Linked DNA regions of Canis lupus familiaris. The protein of the gene in region 1 binds, or shares a complex with, the protein of each later gene. Links are inferred from orthologs where the notes say so. Each region holds a gene or a part of one and is shown in the gene's direction. Other genes may lie near its edges. The genes, in order: ROPN1L and DYDC1.

Region 1 (4,369 bases):
CAGAACAGTTCTTAGGACATACTTAACATTCAGTAAATACACTTGAGTAAATGAATGGATGGATCAGAATCAAAATAATGTGTATGTGGTAAAAACAAAACCATGTGCCATTCTCCAGAGGTAACCACAGTCAGTAGTTTAGTGTTTGCTCCCAGAATGTGCAACAGGTAAATGTATATTCACAGACTCTGCTCTGTTAGGTGCTTTTTTTCACTTCATATTTCGTGAACATCTTTTTATGTCAATACCTAAGTAGCTATCTTATTTTAAAATTCTGGCTGAATTATTTTCTGTTGTGTGGCTAAGATTATGATTTAAAATGTTCTGAAAGAATTAGTTTACCAATTTTATTATGTGCTTTACTAAACATTTTGGTCCATATTACTTTATATACTCAGGCTAGTATTTCTATAGGATAAATCTATAGATTGCTAAGTCATCAAAATACAGTGCCAAATGGCCCCCAGAATGTACTAATTAACACCTCTGTCATCATTGTAGGAGATTCCTTGTTTTTCCATTTTGCATCAACACTAAATAGTGACTTTTCAGTTTTTGCTAGTGTGCCGTTAATTTGGAAATGTGTCCCCTGGTGGGGGAGTAATGGATGGGGGTGATACCTCTAGGGCAGGAGGAAGGGTTTGTCATTGACGACTCCTGGAAATAGCCGGGTCTAGGTCTCCATCTTTCTGGCTAGAAGTGAGCAGGGGAAGGCAGGTGGGTAGCCACAGCTCTGATTCACACCTTGTATGCTGCCCTGGTCAGGATTCACCAGAACCGAGTAGCTCTCCTATCCTTTGACCCAAAGTTCATGTATCCGAAGACAGTTTATGTCCTTCTAGACCCAATCAGCCTCAATCATTGTCTTGAGCTGAAAATCGCCCCGTCTAAACTCTTGAAGTGGCTCTTAAATCGGAAGGCCTGGGCAGTGAGAACAGCGCGAGTGAAGGTCTGAAGGCCTGGACGGCTTGGACAGGGTGTTAGACGGTGGCTTGGCGCGGACCGGATGGCAGACGGGGGCTCGGTTTGCACGCGGTGCAGATGGTTTGGACGTGGGGCAGGCGGGCATCGTGCAGCCTGAGCGAGACCCGGGAGGACGGCGAGGGGCAGGTTCCTTCGCGCGGGGGCGCTCGTGCTCCCTGCGCCGACCGGCCCCGCGGCCGTGACGCCTTCCTTCCGAGGACGACCGAGCCCCCTAGTCCTTAAGCCTCACGTAGCCAGAGCAAGGGAAAGGGTGTGTGTGTGGGGGGGGGGGGGGGGGCTTGTGAATTCTCCCTTCACATCGCAATGGGAAATCGATCAAATGATCTAAGTGAAACGTTCAGCGAAAGGCAAAAAAAGGCCAGAGCCAGACTGCGCAAGCGCAGTGCCTGCCCCGAGCCGAGCCGAGCCGAGCCGAGCCGAGCCGAGCCGAGCCGAGCCGAGCCGAGCCGAGCCGAGCCGAGCCGAGCCGAGGGGCGGGGCCCGCGGGCGTCCCGGTTGCCTGGATACTCCGCGAAACAATCGCTGCCGCGGGCGCTTTCGGGCGGTCGCGGGGAGGGGCAGTTGGTCCTCACTTTCCGCGGAGCCCCAGGAGCCCGAGGAGGAGCGGGTGAGGCCCCCGGCCGGCCGCCCGGACCTCGCGAAGCCGGCCTCCTGGCCGCCCCCGGTCCCCCCGCCGGGCTCCAAATCCGGGGGAGGCAGGGCAGCCCGAGGCCCACGGGTTCGCCCTCCTCCACGCAGCCCATCTTGATTCTTCCCAGCCTGGTCCGGTCCGCGGAGAGCGATGCCGCTGCCCGACACCATGTTCTGCGCGCAGCAGATCCAGATTCCGCCGGAGCTGCCGGACATCCTGAAGCAGTTCACCAAGGCTGCGATCCGCACCCAGCCCGCCGATGTGCTGCAGTGGTCCGCGGGGTAAGCGCCTCGGTGGCCGCCGGCCGGTCTGCGAGCCGGGTCGTGCCCCTGGCCCTCCCGCCTGCAGCCCCGGTGCGACGCGCGGGTGGTGTCTGCACCTGAGGACCTGTCTAGGAACCATCCCGGTTGATTGAGTTTCCCAGCAGTCGCTGCCAAATGCTCCCTTTCCTGCAAAGGCATGACAGCTCCACTGTTGGAGACTGGTACTTGCTCAGACCGAAACTTAAAAAGCGATTGCATTCGGTAAAAAGTTTCTGCATTGTGTGATAAAATCAAACTACTCCACTCCCTTTATTTTATTTGTGAAATGGTTTTTTACAAGGTTTCTTGTAAGGCTAAGCTGCTCATTCTGGAGAATCCTCCCACCCTGTTGAGTTTTTTTTTTTTTTTTTTTAAGATTTTTCAAAAATTCATTTATTCGGGGGCGGTGGGGAGGCGCGGAGACACAGGCAGAGGGAGAAGCAAGCTCATGCAGGGAGCCCGACGTGGGACTCCAGGATCATGCCCTGGGCTGCAGGCGGCGCTAAGTTTCTTAGATCAAAGCCCCCGAGGTCATGTTGGGGTAATTATCCCAATGCTGCAATAAGGTTAAACTTTGCTCAACTTAGTTCCCAGAAGGCAAATAAGCCTTCACCCTTTCTTGCAGCATTGTAGCTATTTTCAGGAATGGTCATAGTTTCAAAGTTACAAAGTTAACAGGCCTTAGAACCTTTAAAGTAAACCCATTAGGTTTCGAAAGGAAAGCTCTTTGCCTCTCTTCAGTAGACAGACTTAGAAACTCAATTTTATGATTACAAGAACCAGTATAAAATTAAATGTTTTGGGGCACCTGAGTAGTTCGGTAATTAAGCGTGTTCTTTTGGCAGGTCATGATCTCAGGGGCCTGGGATCCAGCCCCAGGTGGTGCTGCTTGTTCAGCAGAATCTGCTTCTCCCTTTGTCTCTGCTCCTCCCCCTGTTCATGCGCGCTCTCTCTCTCTCTCTCTCTCTCAAATAAGTAAAATCTTTTTTAAAAATTAAATGTTTTAGTAACTAGCATGTCAGATTTCACTGACCTCTAAATGGTATAAATAACCAAGGTGAGTTAGTTTCCTTTGGCCACTATAACAAATAACCACAGATTTTGATGGATTAAACAACAGGCATGTATTGTCTTATTGTTCTGGAGGCTGAAAGTCCAAAATCCGTTTCACCTAGCTAAAGTCAAATTGTCAGAGGCCCTACGGAGAATCGAATCGCTTGCTTGCTTGCCTTTTCCCGCTTTTGGAGCTGCATTCTTTGTGTTCTTTGGCTCATGGCCCCTTCCTCCATCTTTAAAGCTGATGCATTTAGGACCCATCAAGATAATTCAGGATAATTTTTCTACCTCAGAATCCTCTCTCACATCTATACAGTTCCTGTCACCATGCAAAATAAGATACACAGCTTCCAGGATTAGGGGCCCTTAGTGAACCCACCACAAGGCTACTTATTAATCCAGTGCTTCACCTTGTGACAGGCACTTCTGTCAGTTGCTTCTGCAAGATTCTCTCAAGGGTCTTGCCCAAAAAAATCATGGCCTCTGGTTTTAACCGTCATTCAAGCATCAATGAAAGGACGCACAAGCGTCCTTTGTACTTGTACTTAACAGAACATTTGTTCTGTACAATAACATTTATTATTTGTACTTAACAGAACATTCCGAGATTAAATCATTTTCTTTCTTGGGACTTTAAATTATTTTAATTTAAGCTTCACTTTAATTTAAAAGGCATAATTGAGAACTTTCTGGATGTTCCATGCAACTAATTTTCTCTCAACAATTTTGGAGCTTAGGAGGAAAAGCAGGCGTCATTCACTAAGTGGTGCGTGTGAAATGGGCTTGTATGAATCCCAGCTGTCGCAGCATCTGTTGGGGTGAGAGGTTGCTCAGAAGAGGGCGAATTGCTCTTTGAGGTTAAGACAAGGCTAGGGCATTCCGGGGAGAGGAACAGCATACGAACAAAGGAGAGGTGACAAGAAGAAAAACAAAAAAGCTAAAAACAAAGCAGAGAACCAGGAATCACAGGTGGGTACCTGCTGGGGAAGATGCACAAGCAAGGCTTTCAGGTGCACAGGTCCATCAGCCTGGCCCCCAGCTTGATGCGGCCACTAGGGGACCGTCTGTGTTCTGTCACCAGTGCCCCACGCAGGGTGCCCCTCTCAGGGTGCCCCGCGCAGGGTGCCCCGCACAGGGTGACGGGGGGGGGGGGGTGTGTGTGTGTGTGAGAATTGGTCCAGTGCTAGAGGCTGCTTTCTGCTCGCATGTGCCTCCAGGGACTAGCACCGGGAGGCTTGACCCTCTTGCAGACTCTCAGCCTTGGCCCTGTTGAGCCCATGACAGGATAATGGCTGGGGAGTGTGGGGGTATGCGGGTGTCTGGGCAGTAGGACCCTGAGCAGCATCCTGACCTATACCCGCTAGAGGCCAGTAGCACCACCCACCCCCTCTTGTGA
Region 2 (4,410 bases), on another chromosome or scaffold:
TTAACAAAATCCCCACGTGATTCAGTTAAAGATCTACTTTGCCTTTATGGCAGGAGAACCGCCCTTCCCAGGGAGCGGAATCCCCACTCTGCCACAAGCCTCTCCACTTTCCAGCCCCTGAGCGCCTGCTCTCCTGTGTAGGCCGCAAATCCTTTCTGGAGGAAGCATCTGCTCTAAATTGCACGTTTTCAACCATGGTCTCCATGAATTTTGGAGCCTGACGGTTTACTAAAACTTGATGCAAAGACAAGAGAGCCAGAATGACAGAGCCACAGCTCAGGGCCAGGAGAGGGAGGGGCCAAAGAGGTGCCTTTTGCAGCCCTCTCTCCACAAACTGAAGGGCACATTTAGCAGAGGAGAGGGGCCTAGTTTTCCTAGAGCTCCTCTGGGAGTCCTTCACACGCCCTCCCTGTTCACCGCCTAGCAACCCAGGAGGCAGGCTGGGAAGCACAGAGGTGGCCTTGCCACACCACACTCCCAGGGCTAGGCGCACGGTGGGTGCTCGCAAGTATTTTTTGACTTAATCTCCGAAGGCTCTGGCTTGCTGGCCAGGGCAAGAGCCTCCGCTCCTTCCCAGCTGTCAGCGCCCACTCTGGTACTCCTGGCCTTAACCGCCGGGGCTGAGGCCGCTCCTGCCCAGCACCGCCCAACACAGATTAATCCAGAACCTGGGAAATGCTAGCAGAGGGTTGTCCACAAAACACTAGGTCAGGGAAGACCTGCTGCGGTGGAGGCGGGGCCTTCTGGAGGCAGAAGCACCTGTGCTGGTCCCAAGAGGGGCCAGGCGGGGTCACCAGCAACCGCAAAGGTGCGGAGCCGGCAGGGGGCCATGGGACTTTCCCAGCCTGGGTGGGCAGGCGCCCTCTGCGGCCTGTCCCACGACCCCGCCGCCCCGGCCCTCCCAGTGCACACGGGCCTGCCCGCCTCTGGCTCCGTCCTCCCAGCCTGCAGGTCTCAGGCTCGGCTCCATCCTCCCAGCCTGCAGGTCGCAAGCTCAGCTCCGTCCTCCCTCCCGCAGGTTGCAGGCTCCGTCCTCCCAGCCCGCAGGTCTCAGGCTCGGCTCCATCCTCCCAGTCTGCACGTCGCAAGCTCAGCTCCGTCCTCCCTGCCCACCGGCTCCGTTCTATCCTCCCAGCCCGCAGGTTCTAGGCCCTGCTCCATCCTCCCAGCCCGCAGGCCGCAGGCCCTGCTCCGTCCTCTCTCCCGCAGGTGGCAGGTTCGGTCCTCCCTGCCCGCAGGTCGCAGGCCCCGCTCCGTCCTCCCTCCCGCAGGTCGCAGGCCCCGCCACACCCGCGCCCGGTCCTCCCCGCCGCCCGCCCGCCCCCCGCGCCCCTACCGCGTGCAGGGAGCCACCTGGGTCCGGGGCGCGCGCTCGTTGCCTAGCGACGGGACGCGCCTCGCGGGGCCGGTAGGTGCGCGCGTCGGGTGTGCGCATGCCCAGCGCGGACGCCCAGCGCCCCGCCCCGCGGCGGGTGCTTGGGGGGGCCCGCGGCAGCCGCGGGTGCGGCCTCGGCCTGGTGAGCGGGGAGGGGCCCCGGCGGCGCCCGGGCTGCCCGGCTGAGAGGTTAGTGCCGCGCCCTGGCAGCGCCGCCGCCTCCGGGCCCGCCCCGCCCGGTCCTCCGGGGCCACGCAGGGCGGAGGGGGAGGGGACGCGGAAGGCCCGAGACCCCTCTGCAGACCCAGGATGGGGAAACCATGCAGGCTCCCCAGGTCGGAGGGTGCCAGGTAAAGCCCGGCACAGGTGAGCTCCAGGTAGACGACGAACCAGCTGGCTTATGCTGCCCTGTGCTAAGCGTTACTCCCTGTTTCTCCAAAATTCATATTGACCCGGGCATCCTATATATATATATAGGATATAATGTATATATATTAGATTTTATTTATTTATTCATGAGATTGACACAGGCAGAGACACAGGCCGAGGGAGAAGTAGGCTCCCCGAGGAACGTCTGATGCGGGACTCGATCCCGCGACCCCAGGGTCACGCCCTGAGCCGAAGGCGGGTGCTCCACCACTGAGCCACCCAGGGGTCCCATCCGTATTATTTTGTGCCGCATCGGGCAACTCCACCCGAACCCCCTCCCCTCCCGCCAGGCTGGGCGGCCCCCCCCCGCTTGGGCAAGGGACCTCTTTGTATCTCTTGTTCGGCCTCTCCAGGCTTGAGGGAGCCGTGTCTCTGCGAAAGGCCTTTCTTACCTGGAGCCGAGATGAGATGCCTGTTAGTGTGTCTGAAAAATAACAACCTGTGAGTTGGGTTTTATCACCATTTCGTGGACAGGAAACCAGGGAAGCCAAGTAAGGAGCTTCCTGGGCTCTGCTATCCCGTGCCCAGGAGGATTCGGGATCAGATTCTACTCCTAGCCCAGAAGTTTCTCCCTTGGGGACATGGTCCCTTTCCCGAGTATTATCCTTCTGGAACAGCAGCACGAATCTGTTCTTTCTTTTATGTTTCAAGTGACATTGAGATGTCACTGTCGTCATTTTTGTCTTTTTGAGTGTGTCGCGTCGAAGAAGCACAGTGAGGATGCTGCGTCTCACACTCGCTGATACTGTAATTCTTCTCTCCGTGTGGTGAAGACACCAACGCCAGCTTGAAAGGGAATTCGGTTCATTCGTGCCAGTTTGCAGAGCTTAAGTTTTTATGACCACGTTTATGGGCACACATACACACATTCCTTTCCCCACTGCTTTCAACAAAAGAGGTGGCTTACTCTATAAACAATTTCTGCACCTTTTTAATTCACTTTGCACCGTGTCCTAGAGATCACTCCCTATTTTAAAGATCTTCCTCGTGCCTTTTATATGATATATATGCACCGTCATCCATCGTGTTGCTGTGTCTCATCAGTCCCTTAATGATGAGCTTTTGGATGAGGCTCCAGTTTGACTGTTCTAAGTAATGGAGCAAAATAACCACATGCACATATCATCGCTCCATATTTTTGCAAGTTAAGATCCGACAAGTGAGATCAATGGTTTAAAGGGTAAATACTTACGTAATTTTCTAGATACTGCCAAATTCCTCTGCGCAGGGGTTATACCATTTTGTACCCTCACCATCGTCAAATGAGAGAGAGCACTTTGGGGATTGAAGGATGAACCTCAGGAGGTTGTTGTTTCTGAAATTTTATGCAGAACATTTGGTGCATTTGTCCAGGGACAGGCCTAGACATGCTGGCATTCTGTTCTCTCATGTTCAGCTCATACCTGACCAATGATGCGTATAGTATATATTTACTGAATGATGAAGACATTTCATTAGATTCTTAGAAGTGACTGGTTTCCATAAGGGTAATTTGAGAGTGATAGTTTTTTTTCAAAGCACCGGAAGTACAGTGTTTGCTATATTCTTTCCTCCCTGCCTCCTTCCTTCTTTCCTTCCTTCCCTCCCTCCTTCCTTCTTTTCCTTCCTTCCTTCCTTCCTTCCTTCCTTCCTTCCTTCCTTCCTTCCTTCCTTCCTTCTTTCCCTCTTTCCCTCCCTCCCTCTCCTTCCTTATTTCCCTCCTTCCCTCCCTCCTTCCCTCCCTTCCTCTCCTTCCTTCTTTCCTTCCTTCCCTCCCTCTCTCCTTCCTTCCTTCCTTCCTTCCTTCCTTCCTTCCTTCCTTCCTTCCTTCCTTCCTTCCTTCCTTCCTTCCTGTCTGGTCTAAGATTGTTCCTGTCCACCTTCATAACTGCATAGACTGGGACATTACTGGGAGGATGGAGGAAGTCATTCACGTGCCTCCACGGAGAGCCAGCACGCCTGCCCTGTGATTAAAACACACTCCTTGAGGAGCTGGAGGAGCTTGTCTTCTAGCAGGAGGACAGACATGTGTGTACACACACGATCTCGGCGTGCATGACAAGTGCTGTGTGAGTCGCTTGGAGAAGGTGGGGCTTCTTTGCGTTGCTTGGGAAAGTCCAGGGAATGAGAGAGGGCCAGCATCTTGCAGGCGAGGAGATGTTTCCTCAGCTGGGAGATAGAGAGAAAGCGTTATGGGCAGAAGTCTTGGAGATGGCGGTGTGCAAGGCGTGGCTGTCAGGATGGCAGACTGCTGAGGGTTGTCAGAGCCCAGGATATGCTGGCGGCAGGGGAGAGGTCTGGGGTGAGCCTGAGAAGAAATTGGGGCCAGGGGATCCCTGGGTGGCTCAGCGGTTTAGCACCTGCCTTTGGCCTAGGGTGTGATCCTGGAGTCCTGGGATCGAGTCCCACGTCGGGCTCCTGGCATGAGCCTGCCTCTCCCTCTGCCTGTGTCTCTGCCTCTCTCTCTCTGTGTGTCTATCATGAATAAATAAATAAAGTCTTAAAAGAAAAAAAAGAAATTGGGGCCAAAGTGTGAGGAGCTTCATATGCTATTCCTCGAAGGTTGAATTTTTTTGTTTACTTTTTTGTCCTTGGAGATTCATGGACTTTTGGGGTTTTTTGTTTGT

The links.
Region 2: ROPN1L (region 1) and DYDC1 share a complex: the UniProt entries of both Homo sapiens proteins name them as parts of the axonemal radial spoke complex. The link is inferred for Canis lupus familiaris from reciprocal best matches to the Homo sapiens genes ROPN1L and DYDC1.

Annotation. Positions count from the first base shown.
Region 1 is NC_049255.1:4,035,896-4,040,264, reverse strand, and holds the start of ROPN1L (ropporin-1-like protein), read left to right. Parts: upstream 1-1,431; 5' UTR 1,432-1,591; intron 1,592-1,742; 5' UTR 1,743-1,765; coding exon 1,766-1,896; intron 1,897-4,369. UniProt on the Homo sapiens protein: Functions as part of axonemal radial spoke complexes that play an important part in the motility of sperm and cilia. Important for male fertility.
Region 2 is NC_049225.1:30,231,290-30,235,699, reverse strand, and holds the start of DYDC1 (DPY30 domain-containing protein 1), read left to right. Parts: upstream 1-1,392; 5' UTR 1,393-1,408; exon of another isoform or gene 1,409-1,564; intron 1,565-1,589; exon of another isoform or gene 1,590-1,741; intron 1,742-3,711; exon of another isoform or gene 3,712-3,852; intron 3,853-4,410. UniProt on the Homo sapiens protein: Functions as part of axonemal radial spoke complexes that play an important part in the motility of sperm and cilia. Plays a crucial role during acrosome biogenesis.